Linked DNA regions of Caenorhabditis elegans. The protein of the gene in region 3 interacts with the protein of the main gene of each other region in a biochemical or structural test. Each region holds a gene or a part of one and is shown on either strand. Other genes may lie near its edges.

Region 1 (3,219 bases), on a different chromosome or scaffold from region 3:
TTAATCCAAGACATAAATCAAGTTTCTAATATGACGATATTTATAGTAAAGCTTCGCTGCAATGGCAAATCTAAAAAATAATGTTACACGCAAAACATAATTCTCACTCAATAGTAAATACTGATTATCAATGAAATCCGAATTCCCTAATGATTCCTTTTAAAAGTTATTATTCATTTATTTTTTCTTCATTTCCAAGACACATTTGACGATAGTGACGAACTCAAAACTATCTTTAGCACTTCTCCTAAGTCATTTCCACTCATTCTAGCCACTAATTATCTATCGTCGCCCGCAAAAATTGCAACTTTCTTGAAGATTAGCCCCATCAAAACGTATTTCCTTAACATCCTCATGTTTTTAGTACCTTTCACTCCATATTTGACTGGGTAAGTGATGTCAATTTCCTTTGCTTTCCATCCCTTGTACATAGTTCGTTTGATGACCTGAAATTGCAATACTGAAGATGATAATGATTGATTTGATGCGTCATGAGAAATTCCAACAAGACAAACAAAGGAGGAGTTTGGAGCCAGTTTCAGATAATTGCAAAACTATAAATGCGCTAGCTCTCCTCTGGTTTTTTCATTTGTATGATCTTCTTCCTTGTTTCCCCTTTATGTACCAACCTCCATATCAACCATTGAAAGAACTGGCTGCTCCAAGATGAGCCGACTGGCAAGTTCGGTGTCTGGCTCAAGCATGTTAGACTCAGGTCCAATTGGGCATCTCAACGACATGACGATTTGTTCACGGAAAGGGTCAATTGGTGGGTTGGTGACCTGTAATCAAGTGCTCAATCTGTGTTCACTCTACCAGGAACTTTTCTCACTTTTTAATACATATTTTCATGAACAATTTTTTCTAATTCTTTCACTCGGACGTCATAGTTAAACAAGCTTAGAAATGAAAATACATTTCTCCAAAAAAAGTCGTCGTTCCTCAAAATTACGATTTTGGGCAGTCTTAAGTTTGTTTTTCTAATCAACTACATGGATAGAATAGGAGGAGTATGCGAATGAAGTCAAAACAATTTAATGGCCTCCGACTACTTTTCTAGATTTGAACTTCGAAGAACCGTTGGTTACTCTCTTTACTCATTTTTTCCCATTCTGCTTATGAACCCACCTGGGCGAAGAGTTGCTGGAAATAACTGAACAACAGCGGGCTGTAATCAGACAGACAAGCCAACGCAGCATCATTCCCCATTGACCCGAGAGCTTCCTTCTTCTCCTTGATCATTGGAACTAAGAGCAAGCTGAAAGTGTCATGGGTATAGGCATACAAGGCCAGACGACGGTCAGAGTCTAGATGAACATCCTTTTTCTTCATAAGACCAGGGTTCACCTGCTCCAAATGAAGACGATTAAGGTATTCATTGGTGACGGCACCGTGAGAGAGCTAAAAATTAGTTAAAATTTGTCACAATTCAATTTTTTTTTTGTCTTTTACTACTAACCACATCATCCTTGCGAATCAAGTCCAAGTAGATTCTCGATGCGGAAAGTTGCTTATGAGGTCTTGACAAAGCAATTCTTGTCTTAAGGTCCTCATCGAGCTCGATCTTTTTGAGATGTGTGTCCACAAGGAGCATGCGTCCGGGTTTGAGACGATCCTGTAAAGTACATTGATTATAATTAAAATAACTTATTTATTGCAATTCATTTAATTCCTCTGGAGACTTTTGCGCGTGCTTCACTAGTCTGATCTTTCACGTCTTCACTCAAAATCACCATTTCTACATGATGAGATGTTATTGCGCAACTGCTCTCGCCCAACGCTCTTTGACGCTAGTTCACATTGTAATCCGATCTGTACGAGCTAATGAGCACGCATCACCCACTTTCTCTACATTTCTATCTGCTCTTCGTTTTACTATCTCTTGCCAAAAACGATCTCGTGTGAAAAAGCTCTCCATTTTCAGGTACACACCCGCACACAGAGCTTTCGTCTGACTCATTGTCAGTCGTTGCCAAACCAATTGTCGCAAACCATGCAAGTTTCTGGAATCCTATCTGCTCTTTTCCTCGTCCTTCTCGCCGTCATTGTAAGTCCCTTCCAGTTTGTGCAACCAAAGCGGATACTCCCCATTCCCACTAGTCGGGATCAGTTATTACGTGGCCAACTAGCTTATTTAAAGGGTACTACTGTCGCCCAGCCAGCTGTCAACGACAACACTCTTGGAATTTTCGAAGCTTCAGCAATGGCAAAACGTCTTCGTGGAGAACCCATTCGTTTTGGCAAACGCTCCCCGCGCGAGCCCATTCGGTGAGTATGAGAGATAATTGATGATATGAAGTATATCAAGTAGTTTAAAAGTTTCCGAATTTTTTTCAAAATTTGGAAAAACAACATAAATCAAGCTTAAAACCCAAACACATATTTGGAAACGTCATGTATTCTTACTAGAATCACTTCTTACAAAAATGTTTAATACACTTGCAGATCGATAGAATTTATTTTATTATTTTCAGTTTCGGAAAACGATTCAATCCGCTGCCAGATTACGACTTCCAATAACTCCATCCTATCAATGATTCAATGCACGGTGAACCCCACTACTCAGCCAACATCATATTAGATATTCCAACATTTTCTTCCCATTCTCGTCCTATATTTTGATCCGTACTTTCAATGCAACAACATTTTTTAAACTATGTTTCCTATAACTTCGAATAAAGTGGTTGGGTTCCGCATGGAATAATAGCCCATCTGTTAACCAAGTCTTACGTTTTCTTCGCGAACAAAGGAAACGACTACTGGCACTGAATTTCAGATTTTAGCCAGATTAGGTCAGAAAACGAGGCACACTATTTTCAAGATCAAAATTTTAAAATTCAGTCTTGCTAGTTCTTCAAAGAATTGTTTCGGAAATGTCAATGAGTGCTCATAATTAAACATGTGGAGTGACTTTGGAAGGTGCTAGAATTTCCAAGAAGCTTTGATTTATTAGTTTTCGTTTTAATTTCAAAACACTGTTCAATCTTGAGAACAAGATTAGTTCAACCTACTTAATCATTTCTCGCGTTCTGACAAGTGACGTTTTTGACAAAAAATAATGTTTAATTATTCAAAAACAGAAAATCCCCCCTCCTTAAAGCTCAGTTCATTAATCAGCTTCGCTTCACAAATTCGACAAGGTGGCATCTCAACCAACAGGCACCAATCGGATTCTGTCATTTCTTTCTTTTTTGAGAACAAATGTCTATCTACGTTTTG
Region 2 (5,586 bases), on a different chromosome or scaffold from region 3:
CAGTTTTCCAGGTTGATCAAGCTCTTCGTGATGGAGTTCGCAGCAATGAGTGCTCAAATGGAGTCTGCATGAAAATGATTTTCCAGGAAAAAAGCGGTGAGATAGATCAAAATTAATTGTTTATTTTATTTTCTTTTTACTTATTTTAGGAATCAATCATGTTTGGAGAAGTTGCATACCAAATGCAAAAGAACAAATCCGATCAGACTGTACAAAAATTACTAGTGGAGAAGGTATGTAATATTCAAATTGTTCCATATAATAAAAAAAAAATATATATATAACTTTCAGGAAACCTTGAAGTTTGCACATGCGATGGTAATTTATGCAACAATGACGTCAATTTAAATCTAATACTAATAATTATGTTTTCTGCAGCTGTGTTATTATTATGATGAGTTGTTCATTAAACCTACATATCGGAATCAAATCAAACTTAGATCTCTATTCTTTTCATTTTCCATCGGTTTTATATAGAACTTTTGCCGAAGTATTTTGATTGCATACCAAATAAATGTTTTTACGTTGTTGGAAATGTTTATTAAAATTTAAAGGAACACAGAATAGCCAAAGTGTTTTTAATTTCCAAATTTTTTTTTACTCCTCGAACAGTACCCTTGAACTTCAGCTCGCTATTTTGAATATTCCTGTCACGAAGTCGGTGAATACAAAGATTCACTCGCTCACGACTTATTAATAAATCTAAGGATTTATTAACAAATGATTAAATGTAAAGATTGATTCATTGTTATTACGTAACACTTGCTCTTCAACACTCAACATCATCTCTTCAATCAACGGCAACAACCATGCAGAAGGACGGCGTCAGAAACCCCGATTCAAACTACCGCCAAAAGGACGATTCAAGGCGCATGAGGTCTCGCCACGACACATACAACAACGACTGCGACCGTACTCTTGTCATCATGGCGCAGCGCACATTGGCCTATATCGTCAGTCTTCATCGGTCTTCACCACCGCAGCACGTGCCCGACGGTGGCACGTTTAAATGAATGTTGAGTGTTAGTGATTCAAGGTTTTCCCCTTGAATCACTCGTAATAAATGAGTTAATTAAATAAGAGTCTTTTGTTAGTTCCTATCAGTACCTCATGGGCCGGAAACCACTCCGAAACAATTCCCATAATTTTATTGTTTTCCATTTTCCAGGAAAAAAAACAGTTCTTTGACATTTTCAAGCCAAAAACTATGTGTGTTCCGTCTTAAGACCATGCATTGGAAATTACGTTCGTCACTATTTTTGTGTGTATGTGTTTTGGATTCCTCTTCTCACATTTGCGGTCACAACAGTATCGTTCATCGGTTTTTATGTTGTGATAAAATAGAGAAAAAGTAAAACGAGCATATTTTTGATAGCGGAAGAAAAATTTTGAGATTACATATAACAAAGCGGAAAGTGATTATCAAATGTCAAATTATCAAATAATTTGGAAGCTTTTCAATTCAATATACAGGGTTGATTTTCAATAGGTGGTGCAAGTAAAAAAGAAATACTGTATTTATATTTAAAGATAAATACATTTTGTTTAAACACGTAAATATTGTTTCAAGCTGGCCGCATATCAAAATAAAACCGTACAAAAACTTTCCAGTTTTTCTTAATTTTCAGTCAAGGTTTTAGTAAAATAGCGAGGCGACGAAAATATATAACTTTCCGAGAAGTTCAGAGCAGTTAATAATTATTATCAACTTTTTACAGAATGGTTTACATTTTTTCAACATTAATTATAGTTAAAGGACAATACATTTTTCAAAATATTCACTGTAAATATGAATGAATACTTTTGGAAAATAATCAAAAAGCTGACTGACTACTGTTAAACAATGGCGGAGTGATAAACTAGCAAATTCACTTATTATGCACATAATTATAATGCAGGATAAGATGACTGACTTTCAAGACATTCACTATTTAATGATTAGACTTCCATTTTTGACCATCCCATTTTGACATAAGAACTCCTTGATATTTTGTTCTCTTTGAAAAGTCTTGTTTTACTCTACTTTAAATGAATTCATTTTCGTCATGGACGATCTCTTCAAAAAGTATGTGGGCACCTTTACTTTGAATACACGCAATCTTCACCGTAGTTTCATGTTGCTCGAATGAATATTCAATGATTGGAGGGCAAGATTTATGAAGAGATTGCCGTGAAATCATTTTGCGAGGCGAATCATCGAGGAAGCAACTGATTCGTGATGAATAATTTGCGCGGTGGATAAGTTTTTGGTTTCAAAGTACCCCCCCCCCCCCCCCCCGAGAAGAGGTGGAAAAAAGTTGAAGAATTAGATGAAGGAGAAGTCCAAGTGTTACGTCAACAATTTACAAATGCATAGAGTTGGTATAATTAGTTTCGGAGGGTGTCGGTGGCTAAATTTATCTGTTAGTTACCTCCCAGCATGAATTCCGTGTATTCACTGTGTTCAGTCCCTCGACTGCTCGGTTATACAGCTGATAGATAGACGAGGAAGAAGAAAACACACAAAAACGTAAAGTGGGCCTCTTTAAAAAAATTTAAAAAACAAAATAAGGACACAAAAATATAAATATGCATTGTTTTCATTTTTCAAAACGAGGGTAGCTTCGAGAAATTTCCATTTTCAAATCAAACGAATTGCTACAACAATGTCAAAATGTTAAAATTTTTCTTGGTGGTACTGTATGACTCTAAAGTTTGATCTGGAAAAATTTGTTTTTTCGTAGATAACGTTTCTTACCTAAAAAGCGGTTTTTAACCTGATAGTTGAGATAACCTGGTTTATACAATAAATTTTCAAATGAGATAATTTTTAATAACTTTAAAAAAAAATTTTTTTATATCGTTGGTTTTCGAAACTTGATTTTCAGCAAATTTTTAAAATTTGAATCAACTTGCTCTCAAAGACACGTTTATTGTCTTACGACTTTTAAAACCGGAGTAAATTTAATTTTTCGATGAATCAATTTCAGATAAATCTCAGAACAAGCACTTTACTGTTTCTTACTTGTTTTATGCAATTTACCATTTCAAGTTTTCTATGCCCCCGCGTTCTTTTACCAAACGCCTTCCAGTGGACACTCTAGAATTTCTTCAGCACAAGAAGGCGTGGCCTCTGAAAAGGCGGAGCAAAGTGCGCGGAGCCCAAGTTAGTGGAGAAGACGGACCAGTATATAAGCCACGAGCAGTGCTCAGTCCACACTTTTCAAGTAGAAAATGCTCTCCGGAGTCCTTTTTTCTATTTTTGTACTCGCCATATCGGCCAACGCTAGCTGTGATGTGTCCGCACTGACCACCGAGAATGAGAAGGAACTCGGACTCCGGATTTGCCATCTTGAGGTATGTTGATCATTTTTTTTAGTTTCCAAAGTGGTTTTTTATTCCTGTAAAATCTAAAATGTTTTGCAGGCGGAGATGCAAGTCGTCCAAAGAGCCTTGCAGGAGGTGATGCAGCAGACAGATGTCACACTGTACGATCAAGAAGTTCCGGTGATGAACAAGCGTAAAAACGAGTTTATCCGATTTGGAAAACGCAGTGACGGGTTAGTACATATTTGGTATTTGTCGGTCATTTCAAATATCATTTCTTTCTCAGAATGGAAAAACGAAAGAACGAGTTCATCCGGTTTGGAAAGAGAAAAAATGAGTTCATCCGATTCGGAAGATCCGATAAGGGACTTGGACTCGACGACAACGACGTTTCCAGTGAGTTTTTCGGTTACACCTCTGATGTATTTTATCTGTAAGTGGTTTTGCAGTGGAGAAACGAAAGAACGAATTCATTCGATTCGGGTGATTCGCGTTCAGAGATGGATGTGTGCTTCTTGATGATTTGGGCCAAATTGTGTTCTATACTGATAATGTTTTGTTAGATTTCTTATTCTCCATGCTAATTTTTTTTCTTTTATCTCTGCAAAACGTCAGTTAGAATAAACTTTCATTGTTTTTCTGGTTTTTTTTTCTTTTTTTTTCCATCTTATCTCAATTTTCACAAGACTTGGATATTCACAGGCTTGATGTATGAATTGCATAATATGTCCCAGCCGAATGACCAAATCCGTTTTTTTTCTTTGTATGACCACTCATCGTATTCAAATTTGCTTACAAGTACGCATGATCCCCCTGCGGGCGCGCGCATCAAACAGACGTAAGACCGGTTTTCGAGGAAAAACTGTGTATATCTTTCTATCCGAAATCCTGTGTCATTGAAATATTTCACAATTTGGATACAATTTTCTCGGCCCAAACATGTTGTATAGTCAGTGAGAAGAAGAAAAGTAAATTTTTTGTTGAAATGAGACAACATATTTCATGTTTCGCTAGGCTACGAGAACGTGGGACACTTGTGATTTTTTTTTGCTTGACAAATGATGGGGCCAAGCGATTTCAAGAAGTCTAAACAAGATAATTTTGGCGTCATAGTTTTTGATAGAAGATTTTTTGAAAATTAGAATCAAGATGGTTCTATTGCAGTACATTCAAAAATAGGAGTGGGCTTCAGCCGAGTTTCACGATTGATAGTTCAAGAATTTTCTCTAAATTAAAACACATAACTATACTTTCAGTTCCCACTAAACTGAAATTCTCAATGCTTCAAAACTGCTTACCGTTTTCTACTAAGTTCTTGATAGCTCAGTCGGTAGTGGTGGTCGCTAGCAATCTGGAGGTCACGAGTTCAAGTCCGGCCTCACTCCCTAGGTTCACCCAGCCTCCATTGGCAAGGTGAGCAATCCATAACTGGATTTTCCGCCACAGTCTCCGGCTAGGACGTGGCTTAAATTATAGCCCAGTAGGAGCACCATCAGGCAGTGTACCTGGCTCCTAGATCCGCAGTGCATCGCACTTGAAGAAGGGATCGTCTTTTAATCCTTTAATCCTTTTTTATACCTTAAAACTTTATTTTTACTATCTGCAAAGTAAGTTCATCTCAGATTTTCTAATTAAAAAACCCCTGCTTCGTTGTCGTAATAATGCGTCATCTCAAAGTTATTGAAATTCCGCCACTTTTCTTCTGGATCTCACTTTCCACGGATAAAAAAGAAAGCCGAAACTTTCTTATTCTCATGCCTCGTCACCTCCGAAACTAGTCCGATGACTCAATAATTCGGTGAAGAATGGCTTGCCATAATAAAAAAAAATTGGGCGATATAGTCAACGGCAAAATTTAAATTCAAGGTGTATACTTTAAGCAGAAATACTTGGTCAGTGCAAATTAATTTTCAGTTCACTAAAAATTAGTCAAGCGGAATCTGGTAAACAATTAGGAAAACAAACACTTGAGGACGGAAGATTATCCCTGAAATACTTTTCTTTTATATTGTTGTAAAAATTCTCAAGACGCTTCGAAGAATTTCGGAAATGTTCGCAACACAGGATAAACGAGATGTTGACCAGCTGTGGTGGAGGTATGGGCTATTGCCATTAGTCGCACTTTAGTCGATGATGATGGCAGACAATTACCGTCCTATTGACAGCTAGTTTCTACTGCCCGCCGCTACCGTCACCACGTAATCTGGCCACGCTATTGCTTCTGCACACGATTTTTCTCTCGGAGGAGGAGGAGGAGGAGGAGGACAACTATTTTTTCGT
Region 3 (8,056 bases):
TTCCTATTCCACAATCAAAATCAACGAATATAGTAAAGTAAGGATGTATTTCTAAATGATTTATTTGAAAAAAAAATATTTCGTAGGAAACAATTTCGTTGAAATATAGCCACTTTTTCATATTAACTAATTTTAAAACTTTTAGTTCAATTTAAATTAACATTAATTTAAAAAAAAACCAATTTGCAGCAATGTCTCAAACTCATACGGAGATGACTATGAAGCAGTTTGCTCATCAATTGGGGAAGAATCACGGAAAAATTTTGACGCTCAATTAGACAAGCATATGATGCAAACAATTACTGACGTTAAATACATGATCAAACATAGCAAATACACTGCCCTTAGTGAGTTTTCTAAAAATCATTTCAGTTTAATAAAAATATGTATTCAGGCGAAGTGAATTTTCAACGATCTTGCCTAGATGCTCATAATGAGTGCAGGCAAAGATACGGAAACGAGAATCTTTGTTGGTCAACCGAATTGGCTGAAATGGCTCATGCGTGGGCCGTGAAGTTGGCAGATAGAGGGAGAGTATTGTATCCAGAGTTGCCTGGAATTGGAGAGAATTTAATTTTGAAAGAGGCAAATGAACAGTCACATTTACCAACTGGACAAGAAGTTATTCAAGAATGGGAAAAAGAAGCACAGTTCTTTGATTTCGACAAACCGCGATGGAATCCAAGTTAGTTTTTGAAGTTTGCTTCTTAATTTCGAATAGGTTGAGTTGGGCAAAATTTGAAATTTTCATTTTGTATCAGCAGAACTGGCTAACAAATAAACAAAATAAGGCTAACAAATAAACAAAATATTATTCAAAAATTCGCATAATTCTTGCTGTCCCAAAGGCTGCCAACTTCCCATTCAAAACATAATCAACTAAAAAATAATATTTAGACAAGAACTAAAATCTTAGCTTACTCTTGGTCCGAGTCAATTTCATAAGTGTCTCTAATTTCAGAATGTCAACGATTTTCACAAGTTGTTTGGAAAGATACAACAGAACTTGGCGCTGCACGGTATTGGAACACAGCAAATAATTGTGTAGCTGTTGTCTGCTTTTATCGTCCAGCGGGAAATTCAAATGCACCCGGAGAATTTGCTTCAAATGTTCCATCCAGAGATTGTTCAATGTCACCAATTCGAAACTTGGGAACTCAACTAAAACGCCACGTCACGATCTCAACACCAGAAAGAGCTGTTGTTTCCAAGTAGCTACTAGTTTATTTTTTTCAATTTGTGTAGCCAGAAACCGAAAAAGAACATTCCGAAACGGGTTGTGCGTTTTCTTCTACTTTTCTCCCCCACTTGATGCTTTCATTATAGTCAGCTTTTCTGTTTTTTTCTCTTTCATTTCGGCACCCGGTAACTTTGTCGGTTAATTGATCTCTAGCTATTACTTTCCATTGACAAATAAAAGATTGCTATGCCGAAACATTTTTACAAGTTGGAAGATTATCCTTTTTAAGTAAGTGTTTTAATTACACGGTGACATACGACTGTCATGTTTGCCATCAATATTTTTGTGATGGCATGATAAAAAATTCATTTAAACCAGAAAAATGCTTATGAAAATCAATCTATGTCTACCTACTATGGGAGCTAGTTTGAAGTTCTCCGAGGATACAATATTCCCAATTCTGCAATTTTCATTCATAAAAGGTTGTCATATACATAAATCAATAACCTCAATATGCAAATTGAAAGAATTTTAATTTCTGAACAATTACTTTATTTTTTTTTTCAATTCTGAAAAGTTTAAAGATTTAAAAAAAAAGTATGTTACTAATAAAAAACAAGATTCATTAATAGGACACGCTTAAGAAGAAATCAACGTAATCAGAAAATTGAAATAGAAACCCGTGAATATGGTAAATACTAATGGTTTTGTTCTGACACGTGTTGCAATTTGTGTGTTTAAAAAATTCTGATATCAAATGTTTTGAAAGTGTCCACGAATTCCATCAGCACTGGCTGTTGAGTTGGGTCCTGAGCTGTTAAGTAGATGTGATGTCTCATCAGTGGATTCATCTTCTCCACTTCGAATCGGTGGAAGTGGGGATGATGGAAATGATGTTGGCATTGGAGAACATGGAGTAATTGAATCACATCCAGTCATTCTCGTTATTTCCGTACTGTTTCTTCGTACCTGGATTCCGACCATCTGAAAATTAACATGGCTTATTCAAAAGTTTTGTAGAAAAAACATGTGTTGATATTCTTACTTTAACACTTGCTGACCTTGTATCTTCCGAATAAGTGCCATTTCCATTCATTCCATTTCCGTTTTTCTCGTTTGGTTTTAGAAAAGTCATTTTTGTGGTACTGTAGGCGTCGGATGGACGACGAATCGACGGCGATGACATTCGGAGACATCTCACCTTTGCAGGTACAAAGACACGGTGGAATTCCTAAAAATTTTATGATTTTTCTATATTGAAAATGAACCAATTTTTATTTATAGAAATCAAATGAAAATGCTTGTTCCCTGTGTTAAAATGAACTAAACACACATTCATAAAATGAGCAAAGTATGTACTTCCATGATTTTTCTTGTAAAAACAACTCCGCAATTGTCGGAAAATGTAGAGATCTTAAGCGCATTTTAAGACGCTGCCGAACATCATGTTAGTAAGAAAACAAAGAAAAAAAAGACAAATTCGCTTGGAAAGTTCCACCGAATGTTGAGAAAGTTTGTAGTATTTTCTAACAGCATACAACACATTTTTCATTGAGGTATTTTGAAAAGATGTCGCTCATTGAAATTTTTTTCAAGTAATATCAAAACTTACATTTCTGAACTGTCCACTCATTGAGCAGTAAATGATGAATGAACAACATGAACCGCAAAGTGAGAACAAATCGAGAATGTCTCCCAGATTGTTATAAATGTAAATTCGGAATTCTTCAGAACACATTCCAGACAAGACAGCCATAATTCCTTGAGGTAATTCAGTCACTAGCATAACTGCTACAATTGCCAATAACATATGAGTTGTCCGATCGACACGTTCTCCTCTCCCCCGTAAGCTTCCATTTCTGCCTAATTTCTCGTTGCCTGCAACTGAAATGCTCAGTCTTTGTCCGTTTCGAGTAGTCGTTTGATTCGGTGGTCGATGTTGCGAGTTCTTGAGAAGACGTTGACGATTCTCACGCACTTCACGAAGAATTCGTAAAAGGAGCCAAACAAACAACGATAGAAGCGCACATGGTAATACTTTGAATACCATACCGGATATCCAATAAGATAACCGGAAGACCTGCAGGAAATTAGGAAATTGGTTTTTGCTAGGGTGACGATCACGATGATAAATATTATTTTGTATAATTTTCATGATATCATATGTACATATGATCGATCAATTATTTCCAAAAAGGTTTATATAAATCCAAAGCTTCAAAGTTATATTATGATGATCTTGCCAAAATTTTTAGTTTATAAATCTAAGTTCCAATAAAAAAGTTTTTCGAGAAATTTTGTTTGTATACAATTTGTCAAACATTATTTTTTAACAAAAATCTTGTTTTTTTTTTACTGAAATTCAAAAATCTTACCAGACAGCTGTTTGCTTTTGCAATGTCTGCAATTCCAGGAAGATACGCGGGCGAATTCCAGAACATTGGATCCAAATCGGTACACGTTTCATTCAATGGCTGTTCATTGATTTTGTAATTCAGAAAATTCGGTGCATTAAGCACTGCTACAAGGGATACAGTAACAGCAACGGCATAATAAGAATGCCTTAACGTCACTTGCATACCACCCATATTTCCCCTACTTCGAAGTGTTACATATCGAACAAGTGCAAGCATAACTGCAATAAAATCGAAGAGTTGGACAGTTGTCTTCAGAATGAAAAGCTTACCTGACAACCAAACACTTGAAGAATGTGCAACTAATGAAAGATGAGCATGAGCAATTAAAAATAACGCCCAAGAGTAGGACCAATGTTTCGGATGACAAAACTTGAAAGCGACAAATGAGTAATGTGTTGTGTATATTAAATTTGAAAATAACACAACTGTATCACAAGATGCCATTGCTGTCAAAATCATATTAACTGGCGTTCGCATTGTTCGTCTCGTTAGTACGACGATGTTACAGAAATTAGCGATTGTACCCAACACGCATAGAAATATTGATAAGTAGGCATGTATAGGATGGTAGAAATTATATACACTTCTGAAAAAAAAACGTTTAATTTCACTTTTTTCCACTTTTGCTCTTGAAATATTTATTAATGGCTCTCTTTTTTATGGTCATCACTTTTGAGGACACAATAATTTAAGATAAGATAACCTTCTTCAATAACTTGGTTTTATTCGCTATTTTTAGGGATGATTTCTACAAATAATAGGATAACTTTTAATGATGATAAACTGTACTTTTTGAAAATACGTCAAATACAACAGTACTGGGCAATTATTTGAAAGATTTTTGAGACACAAAAGTAAAACTTACACAAAAACATCGTATAAAAAACTTTTATCGGGCAGATGAATAAATGTAGTTTTGCATTCGGTAAACTCCATTTTGTTTGCTGTTCCTCTGTTCTATTGTTTCTGATTCTATTTGAACATCTGAAAAAAAACAACAATTTATTAATATTGAAACGTTGAAAATGAGGAAAACAAGCGTTCAAATGAAAAACGGCTCCGATTCGGAAAACCGGAAAACGTCATTAGAAATGAGAGATGACTATGAAAAAAATGACAAAAGGGACAAAGATTTGGCAACACATTGCTCATTCACTTTTTAAAACAAAAACACTCAAATAATAGGGTGAGTGTGTTTTTTTGGAACAAAAAAACTAACAAAAATATACTGCAAGCTTTTGCTCAAAAATCTAAGATAAACACCAATTATTGCCAATTAGGGAGATCTTGCAGATAAAACTTCCTTAAAGAAATCATTATTCAGAAATTGAAGGAGTTGCAAAATCAGAAAATATAAAAATAAAAATAGCACAGGAAGTTTAATGATTTTTTTACTGGGAAAATTAAGAGTACAATTGAAAAAAGAGAGCCAAAAAGTTTTGAATGAACTTCAGAAGGAATAATTTGCATAAACTGAACAAGATTAATACATTCAAAAGTACACAAATTTTCGGAAAAATTGATATGCACTATACCAAATTCATATTCACATTCGTTTTTTGATTAATTTTTTTGCCGCTACACAATTTCGGCAATTGAGCATGTATTCGATTACAAAGAAAATGTCACAAATTCCAGGCACTTGGAAAAATAAATTGATAATTATTTCTTTTTCTATCACTTGGAAGAAGAGTTGTTTTTAAATGCCCGCTATTTCAGAGAGACATCACGTCATTAAAAACCATAAACGTTACGCATTTTGAAAAATAGAAAATTCAAAAACCTAAATGGATATCTCAACAGCTTTTTGTCACTATTTCACTGTCTCTTCACTTCAAAACACACACATATATATATATATATATATATATATATATATATATATATATGTGCAATATCCGTATCTACTTCCAACCGCTATTCGATCACTAAAAGAAACTCAAAACAAGCCTCGCTTCCTAGTCCTTCCGTTCGCCGCCATGATGGGCCCAGTATCTAAGCATGGGCGGAATTTGTTGCTTTTTTACTCAAAAAAAAGAACCTTTTTTATGTTGAGCACGGACAGATAAACGCAGAGCGGGGTGCAACGCATCTCTCCCCGACAAAAAATAACATCAGAATATAACCAAATTTCGGTCAGCGCTCGGAAGTGTGTGAGGCGGCCTAGCGCGCTCCAACTCTAATTACAGAGCGGATAAGGTTTGGATAGATATTTCCAAAGTTAGTCATGTGTTGATCCGTGACCACATGTCAGGTGAGCACCCATTTCCGGAGTCACTTCAGGAAAAAAACTCATTGAGCTGACTCTCGTGCCAGAGGAATTTTTCGCACTTATCATTAAAGAAAACGACAAAAGTTTATGCTGAAAATGAAAATATTTGCCGGAATTCGGTTTGAAGTTACGATAAAAAAGTAAAAGGTACAAGATCAAACTCCACTGGCAAACATATCCCAAGTATTGAAAATTTTAAGCATAATTACTTTTGAGTTAGGGGAAGGAAAATGATGGAAGTCCGGTTAGGTCGGATTTTCCTATATTGCTTGTTAAATCATTTTTGTGTATTAAATTGTATTGAAAAATAGCTGAAAAATAAGGATTATTATAACTTCTCTTATTTTACTTTTTAAAATTATTTTTTGTGACGTCGAACTTTAAAATGCAACGCCAAAAGTTTCCACAATGCAATCAAATCCTTTATACTTAAAACATCAAAATCCAACAACATGTAAACATATTTACAGAACAGAAAATTCTAAAAATATTACAAACTTGTAAACAAGTTGATAGTTGAGAAGACCTATCAAGAAGTATGATACGAGTGAGAGTACAAAAAGTACCCACAAGAAGTATCAAACTCGGAGAAAAAGATGGAAGGTACGGGGCCAAATAAAAAAACCGACGGATGTTGAGACCGAGAAAAATGCAAATTCTGAAGCTAACCGAATTTGTGACAGTGGATGGGCTCTTTGCCTAACTTAAACGAAACTTCATGTGACCTTACGAATGACGCAACTATTTCTGCACATAAAAAGGTGACAGAAGAAGAAGCCGTAGGATAAACTGACCAAACTTAGAGAGATGAGGACAATGAAATTCTTTTCTTTTTGCATTCCATATTTTCCCCGTCTTCTCATTTTCATATTTCTTTATAAATTCAGTCGCCCGTCCAATTGAATTCATTCAATTCGAGGAGGAGGAGGATGAGAGGAAGAAGAAATGGAATGCAGTGTTATTGCTACCTCGCTAGCCGCCGGATGCTCAGCTCCTCTACTCCCAAGATTGGGGGAATGGATCTTGAAATTCCATTGCCGTTTGTATAGCCGTAGGTTTTGAATATTAAAAATATTATATTATGAAAGGATCGGGGGTGGAGCAGAGATAGAAACAGCTTTGCTGCTTTTTCTTCTTCTTTCATTTGCAAAAGCCTGTTTCTGCTTTTCATTCACTTCGTAAAAAAGTTTAGCAACGCTGAGGGAGGGCTTTGGATTTGAATTTGTGAATTTGTCAACCCAAGCGGAAATTGGAATGAACTTTTCGGTTCTTCAAAAAAAAAACTAAAGAAAGTGAAAAGTTTGGATAGAATAAGGCGGAGCAAAACGTCGAAGAAGACGAGCCTGAAAGTAGCAAAATTGGCCAAATTTGACTCGAGTTGAAAGCTCCTGCTTCTGTTTCTTGGCGCAAGAGCTTCTCCCCCGCTTCAGCATATCCTATATTCAAAGACGATGAAAGTTTTATTTTTTGCTTCTCCTTCTTCTTCTTCTTCATGTTTTCTTTGAATTAGAGACGTCAGATTGTAAAAATAAAAGTGTTTTCATTTCCTAATGTCTTCGTTTTCACCATCATCACATTCATTTTTCTCTATCCTCTTCTTATATCGGACTAATTAGAAGGCGGGAGACGAAGATTTTTGAGTGAAAAAAGCGAATGGAAATATGAGGAGCATCTCTGATATGTCTTGTGACAACTCAAAATGCTCGAAGAGCTCTGTAAAGAATAGACGAAAAGTTTTCCCACCAATTATGAAGAGGCTTTTGTGAGAAAAAATGGAGCAAAAGAGAAGTGAGGTAGTTGTGAATAAGAGAGCCAATGCTATGAAGGATAATTGTAGTTGAGGGGATGGTTGTGATGGAAGTGGTGTACTGAGTAAGAACCTTTAGAATCACAATTGAAAGTACCAAAAGTTAGGCACGGAAATGTCGAAACTGACATGACGAAAGCGGAAGACTAGACTTGCAAACTTGCTCTCCATGAAACTCTGAATTGCAAAGAAAGATCGGAAATCGCAACACTCAGACATCTTCAATGTTTAACCAACTTCGACCGCAGACTTTTTAAAGATAAAGAAAGAAAGATACGTTAAGGGGGTTGAAGACACGAAGCTTGACTAAATAAGGAAGTTTTCAGTTGAATGATATCAGAAGTAGCTGGAAAAAAAAACAGATTTGAAAGTACACGGAA
Region 4 (6,915 bases), on a different chromosome or scaffold from region 3:
TTGTGAAACAGTAAATTCTAGGAATTGCTGGGTTTTCAAAAATTATAAACAATTATTTTTCAGAGTGAGCTTTCCTGCGCATTCTCCCACGAAACCGTACCTTCTCGTTCAACAAGTGCTTACTTATCAGCTCTGATCACAAATACATCTCAACTTCCACTGCTCCCCGGGGCAGCCGCAGTTTACGTCAATAACTGTTTTGTGACAAAGGTATGTGGGTCTCGCCGCGAAATCTACAGTACCCATTTGTTGTTACAGACCCATTTGAGATTGGTGTCTCCCGGAGAGGAATTTCGGTGTAATATGGGAGTCGATCCGTCGGTGAAAGTTGAATACAAAGCACCAACAGTGACTTATGATCAGGTAAGAAAATTTAGAAAAATTGAAGAAAAAAAAATTACGGTTTCAAATTTTCGTTATTTTCCAAAACGTTTTCGATCAATAATTTTTTAAATAACAAGGTCTTTTCCAAAAAGCTCTTTAATGAAAATAAGATATTTTCAAAATTTTTGAAAATGATGAAAAAATTATTTAAATTCCACTGGTACAATTTTGACATGCGTTTAATATGCGATCTATAATTAAAAATGTTTATGTCATAGTTACTGCTCAAAAAATGGGAAAAATACGTTCTTCTTAATTTTCAAAAAAATTACTGTTTCAAATGTTTGAAAAACCAAAAAAATCTCCAAATTAATTACTCGTAACTTACTATTCATTTTTTCAGGTGGGGTTCATGTCAAAAAGTACCTTAATGACTCACGAGCAGCTGATCAGTGTCCGCAGTGCAAAAGTTCGTCAAAGTGTAAAAATTACGGTAAAGGAGCAGATTCCAAAAAGCCATGATGACAAGATTAAGGTGAGAATTTAAATTTATTTTCATTAGAGCGCAGAAAGTAGATAAAATTTTACAAAATCTGAAAGTTTTAAAATTGAGAAGAAACTACCCCTGCCGCCCCCGCCAAATCCCAACTACCACACCTCATTTCGGTTTTGGAAAATGTTTTGAGCTTCTGTTTCAAAAGAATGAAACTAGGTAACATTTTTCTTGCAATTAGTTAGAAATGTAGTTAGTACAAAAAAGCGGGTTATTGGCGCAGTGGTAGTGTGCTAGGTTGGTGAGCAAGTGACCGAGAGTTCACCCCTTGACCTTGCAGACAATTTTCTCAGTTCCAGGTTTCTATCGTGTCTCCGGAGATCAAAAGCTCGTCTTCCTCCAAGAACTCATCTCCACCAGATGCTCGTCTTAACAAAGACCATAATCTTGAATGGTGTGTCATTTTGGCACCCGGCCAACATCGTCTTCTCCCAGTTCGCTACACAATTGAGCATCCGGCTTCGGAATCGCTTTCCTATAAGTTTAATTAATCATTTTCCCTGATTTATTTATTTTCTGTTTCTGTGTATTGGTCGTATTTTTTGAGTACTAAAAATATTCAATTTGTATCAAATTACCCACATTTCTTCTCTGGTTTTAGTTCTTTCAATTGTTCTGTCTCAAAGATGATAATAAATGTTTTTTTTTGTTCTCGGAAAAATTGAGACTATTAAAGTATTCGTATTTATTTTCTAAGAAAACTACAAAGAAACTATAAAGAAAAGTATATGAAATTATAAAAACAAAGTGAAACAGTAAGTTTTTACTTCTGCATGAAGTTTTCAATGTCAATTGGATCTCCACTATCTTCCTGAATGCCTGAAAACTACATAGTAACCGAAATTTTCAAGGATCACGCGATTTTAAATTTGGACAGGGTCCGTCTCCTAAGGGGTGCGGCCACTTATGCTGAAACCCGGCCGATGAAGGATGCTGCAAACGTTCAACTACACTCTGAAACACACAATTTCACAATCAATTTTCAGCTGCTATTTTTATAAGAATTCATCAAAAAGTTGAAACAACATTTTCCAGCAGTCACCAGTCTAACAAAATAGTCAGTTTTATTCAAATCTCAATTTCAAGCTGATCAAGAAACAGGATTGTGGAGGTTTGGGGTGTCATCGCCACACCGATTGACAAACACATTCAGTCAATTAATAAAAGTTGTCCACACCAAAAAGAAAAAAATTATTAGCCCACGGAGGAAGATTTCTCGGAAAAAAAACTAGAAGGAAAATTCACGAACTGGGAATTTTAACAGGGGGTTGTGAATTTTTGTAAATTTAGAGAAATATTGGTACCCAAGAGAGTAGGAGTTGCTCAAAATGTTGGTTGAAAAAGGAATAAATGGTGGGAATTTGAAAATCAAAAAAAAAAAATTATTTTCCAAAGCGAATGTACTGGCTCTTTCTTTTTTCAGTAATCTGTGGCTCCATTCCGAATGATCTTCCAAATCTGACAAACGCTGATTTACGCTTTTCCATTTCCTGAAAAAAAAAGTTGGAGGCTTACAAAATGGGATTTTTAACATACCATAGCCTCTTCCTCTGGAGCAGATCTCTTTCCGAATCTGACAAAGGCGCTCTTTCTCTTTTGTACCTCTTGAGCTCCGGCTTGCTGTTGATTGTTGATTCCTGAAAGTTAAAAAGTTTTTTTATAAAAGATTCTTTAGTAGAATAGCTCCGGGAATGATGCTGTAAAAAATTTCAAAAAAAAAGTTCACTGTTTCAAATGTTTTGTAACATTTTTCATTTTTAGGGGTCTCACAGTCAATTCTTTTCAATTACCAAATTTATATGCGAAAAAAAGTAGAATTTCAAAATAGAAAATGAAAAAAGGTTCAGAAAAATTAGGTTGAAATTTGACTTTTTCATAGCTTTTTTTCATCGTTTTCTTATTTTATTTGGATGACAGACCCGACCTACATAAATGCTCTAAAAATGCTCTGAGCTCTAAAAAAATGCTCTAAACCTAAAAAAATCTGCGGTGGGATAATATTAATAATTTTAAACAACGAGACATTTTTTTGCTGCTACGAAAAATTTTCAAATGTGACCGAAGTAGTCACGAACTTAAAAAAAAATTCGTTTTATTATTATCATGGTTGTTTTCACGGACTAAAAATTGAAATATTTCTATATTCTCTGAAATGCGACGTTACAGAGTCATCATTAGAATGAGGAAACATTACCATCTTTATGAAAGGCTTGAAACGGTAAAATAAAATTAAGATTCTTCAAGAGAACGTGATAAATTAAAATTAAACGTTAAAATTAATGTTTTTTTCCGTTTTACGAAAACGAGAAATAACGACTTGAGAGTTTGAATTCATTAGTAACGTTTTTCTATAAAACTACCAATAAAAAAGAAAAAAAGTCGAATTTCTATCACTCATGATTTACAATTTTAATATTGTGCTCTAATCCTAAAAAATCTATACTTTTCACAACTATTTTTTTCAAGAAATTTCACATTTTCCATTAAATCTCTCAAACTAGAGGAACTATCGAACAACGTCCAACTAAAAAAAATATTCCAGCCGACTCACCATCTTGCAAAAGATACTGTAACTCGACCAAACTGCCTGTCAGCTCTTCTTTCAGTCGGCACATGTGGAGTGTTGGGAACTTCTCGCAAAACTTTTCCGACTGAATTTCCTCCATTGAAGCGGCCTGGGAGGATCCCGAAATTGTGAGCAACAAACAAGTGGTGAGCACTAGTTTGGAGAGCATCTGGAAAAATAAAGTTTTGCGGAAAATATTTCCACACAGAATTTTTTTAAAGGAAAAAAAATGGAAACACAAAAAAATCATTGAGAAAAAGTAACAGAAAATGTGTGAAAAATGAATGAAAAATCTGAATTTCCCGTGTCAATTTATAGCTATTAGCCCCTTCCTAATGCATTTCCGGCTCCGAATTTCCGATTGAAATCACTGAAAAAACCGAAAAATCTTTCAAAAATTCAGAAAATCCGAATCATTTCCTAATCAATTTGACAAGAAAGCACGGGAAACTTAGAGGCTTCTGAGAAATCGGATACGGTATCCGGAGCTGAGCACGCCTCGTTGAAAACGTGCCGAGAACACGGACGTAAAGGTGGAATGCTCAAGCTCCGCCCAGATTTGGTCTGATGATGTTTTTGGTGAATCAACTTGTCACGAATGTGCTTGCCTACCACATGCCTACTGCCGAAAAATAATTTCTATATTTTTTGATTTAAATCTTTAAAAAGGTGTTGGTAGCTACACTGAGCAAATATCAAAACTCCGAGTTACCGTCGAAATGAAGAAAGGCAATAGTTAGGCATAGAGGCACCAGGTAGGCAGGTAGGTAGATATATGAGTAGCTATCAGGCAGGCGGGAGTGTTAGTAGTGGAATGTCATAAAGCAGGTAAGCAACATAGCGGTAGGCATTATGAAAAATCCCGAAAAATAATTTATTTTGCAAATACCCCCAAGGAAGCAATAAATAATAATTTTTGTAAATACTTTAAAAAAGTTCAAGCCCGCTCCATTTTTCGCAAACTCCGTGATATTTCGGAAAATTATTTCTCAAAATTTGAATGAATGATGGATTAGAAGACGGTTTTCGAACATATATTCAAAGCTAACGTACTGTAATTATTTGGAATATTTTGTGAAGTACGTATTAAAAATTCCGATTAACAAAAAACATTTAATAACTATTCGAAAAATAATAACATTGTCTTTTTCAATAAAAAACGCATTTTGGAAAAAATTAAGCAGTTTTTAGAACCTGATGGATACTTAATTTATATGCTTTCAGTATATAACTTTTTTTTCACAATTTTAAGGCATATTTCGTTTTCCAGTTTGCATAATGAACGAGAGATTATTTGACACTTTTGAAACAAAAAAAAACAAATAAAATTTTTTGTTGAAACCGAATATTTTAAAAATGTTCTGTTACTTGAAACTTATTCCAAATTTTTCGAAACTGTAAACTGTTTTGATACTTTTTTTTGGCCAAGACAGTTCTCTTCTAGAATTTCTAATATAAAACGCTTGGAATATTAACGTTTTCATATTTCCAATGAAACGCTGCCTATTTGTTTTATTTAAAAATTAAAATAAAAACTTTTAAAATCAATCAGAGAAAAAACTACTAAACATACAAGCTGTTTTTTTAATGCTCTTCAATAAATTTAAAAGTAAATTTTCATGAAAAAATGTAAGCTCCGCCCCTTTTTCGGAAATCTCCGAAAAATTTCGGAAAATGCAGAATTGAATGAATGAATGATGGATTAAGAGACATTTTGCCGGTTTTATTTTTGAATTTTTTTTCCTGTTTCAACGAATGCTACAAATATGGCTGGTTATACTGAAACAATAATAATTTGCCAATATAAAAATCACTCGTTGTAACAAGTGTTTCCTAATGTAAGTAAAACATATTTTAAAATAAACCACCTGAAACAGTGATTTTATTTATTTAAACGATTTGTTCCGTTTTATTTGAAATTGATGGATCTATAACATTGAATTCTGTATAAGTTACAAACCTAAATAGATAATGGGAAACAGTAAAATTTTCAAAAGTATGTTCAAATTTTTAGAACTTTGTAAGAATCATTTTTCTACATCCTTGCAGGTTCCGAAAAAAAATCGAGAAATTCAATGAATGATGGTTAAGAAAAAAACCTTCTAAAAATGAAAATTGATTATATGAAACAAAAATATTTTCGTGCACCTTCTCCGAAACGGAAAATTATTGAGAGTTGAAATTCTGTTTGAAAACATTTCGATATTTTATAAAAATGAATCACTTTTCAAAAAAATTTTTTCCTCCGTGTCACCAGATACACAGAGACTACTTTAAGTGTATGATGCAATCTTTGCTGAGAACGATGCGATTTTGCTTACAGTAAATATTTTACTGTTTTACTTTGAGTAATGATTTGTCCAAAACACATTCAAATGAACTTCTAGCAATATTTTAATTTTATAAGCTGTTTATTTAATGTTCCTAGAAATGTGCCTTTTGTGAAAATATCTATTACTTAAAAATTGTTTTTTTTAAATATATATCCGAAAAAAAAAACTCCTGCCTATCCAGCCGTCTTTCTGTGTGCATACGTACCTTACTTAAATCGAATCTTGTGAAACAGAAAATTTTTTAATAAAAAAATGTTTTTTTTTTCAAAATCTTTCAGTTAAGCTCAATATTATATTGTTAAAAATAAGCCCCGCCCCTTTTTTGCAAAGTTCCGAAATTTTTCGGAGAATGATTTTTCCGAATTTGATCGAGAATGATGGATTGGGAGACAAAATGCGAGTTGTGTTTTGTGGGCGTGGCTTAATTGGGAATGATGTTTGAAAATTATGTAAGAATCAAAGATGTAATTGATGAAAAGGGGGATTTTTCAATAAAATCAATATTAAACTTCTATTTCAAAAAAATTTGTTTTAAGCCAAAAGGTTTTGAATTAAATTTCAGATATTCGGGCCAAAATAAACTGTAGTTTGCAGTCAATGACGTCCGAGGGGTCGGTTTTATTGTTTTTTTGTTGGTGAATCCAGATAATTTTTTAAAAAATTAAAAAAATTTTTTATTTAAATTTTTAATTCGTCTAGAAAATTAATCTTCCATTAATAATATGAGGTTGTGAGTAATTTTTAAATTAAATTCTTGAAACAGTAATTTTTAGGATATAAATTCTTTAGATATTAGTTAAAACCCATTTTATTTTAATAAATAGTTCTGAAATTTGGAAAAAATTAGAAAACGGATTTCTATTCTAAAAAAATATTCTAAATATTCTAAAAAAATCTAAAATATTCTAAAAAGTAAAAATTCTAAAAATTGATAAACTTTGTGAAACGGTAAAATTTTTGAAATTTGGCCGAATCAAAAAAATGACAACTTTGAAAAAAAACTATTAGAAATTTTGACTCTATTCAAACTATCATCAGAGTAAGAATTGTGAAACGTAGAACATTTTGAAGTCAATGTGGAACTGTAATTCAAATTAAACTTTTGTATTTTCAAACATATTATAATTTCAGAGGAAAAG

Evidence for each region.
Region 1: the proteins of dmsr-1 (region 3) and flp-2 interact in a test that uses a peptide from one of them, tested with the Caenorhabditis elegans proteins (one large-scale study listed by BioGRID).
Region 2: the proteins of dmsr-1 (region 3) and flp-8 interact in a test that uses a peptide from one of them, tested with the Caenorhabditis elegans proteins (one large-scale study listed by BioGRID).
Region 4: the proteins of dmsr-1 (region 3) and flp-17 interact in a test that uses a peptide from one of them, tested with the Caenorhabditis elegans proteins (one large-scale study listed by BioGRID).

What each region holds. Positions count from the first base shown.
Region 1 is NC_003284.9:10,093,930-10,097,148, reverse strand, and holds flp-2 (SPREPIRF-amide), read left to right. Parts: upstream 1-1,924; 5' UTR 1,925-1,993; coding exon 1,994-2,268; intron 2,269-2,474; coding exon 2,475-2,520; 3' UTR 2,521-2,719; downstream 2,720-3,219. Other genes in the region: W07E11.1 (glutamate synthase (NADH)), read right to left, coding at 368-446, 630-782, 1,129-1,401, 1,460-1,615.
Region 2 is NC_003284.9:14,878,325-14,883,910, forward strand, and holds flp-8 (FMRF-Like Peptide), read left to right. Parts: upstream 1-3,094; 5' UTR 3,095-3,213; coding exon 3,214-3,336; intron 3,337-3,405; coding exon 3,406-3,539; intron 3,540-3,592; coding exon 3,593-3,743; downstream 3,744-5,586. Other genes in the region: sssh-1 (UPAR/Ly6 domain-containing protein qvr), read left to right, coding at 12-96, 150-233, 292-395.
Region 3 is NC_003283.11:11,435,295-11,443,350, reverse strand, and holds dmsr-1 (G-protein coupled receptor dmsr-1), read right to left. Parts: upstream 4,582-8,056; 5' UTR 4,534-4,581; coding exon 4,463-4,533; intron 4,184-4,462; coding exon 3,867-4,183; intron 3,816-3,866; coding exon 3,556-3,815; intron 3,261-3,555; coding exon 2,793-3,260; intron 2,412-2,792; coding exon 2,226-2,411; intron 2,165-2,225; coding exon 1,934-2,164; 3' UTR 1,787-1,933; downstream 1-1,786. Other genes in the region: F57B7.2 (SCP domain-containing protein), read left to right, coding at 1-37, 190-347, 395-685, 962-1,215. UniProt on the Caenorhabditis elegans protein: G-protein coupled receptor.
Region 4 is NC_003282.8:17,188,280-17,195,194, forward strand, and holds flp-17 (FMRF-Like Peptide), read right to left. Parts: upstream 3,613-6,915; coding exon 3,429-3,612; intron 3,234-3,428; exon of another isoform or gene 3,213-3,233; intron 3,052-3,212; exon of another isoform or gene 3,028-3,051; intron 2,671-3,027; exon of another isoform or gene 2,650-2,670; intron 2,515-2,649; coding exon 2,414-2,514; intron 2,368-2,413; coding exon 2,260-2,367; 3' UTR 1,925-2,259; downstream 1-1,924. Other genes in the region: C52D10.3 (DUF4140 domain-containing protein), read left to right, coding at 64-210, 259-363, 728-859, 1,177-1,368.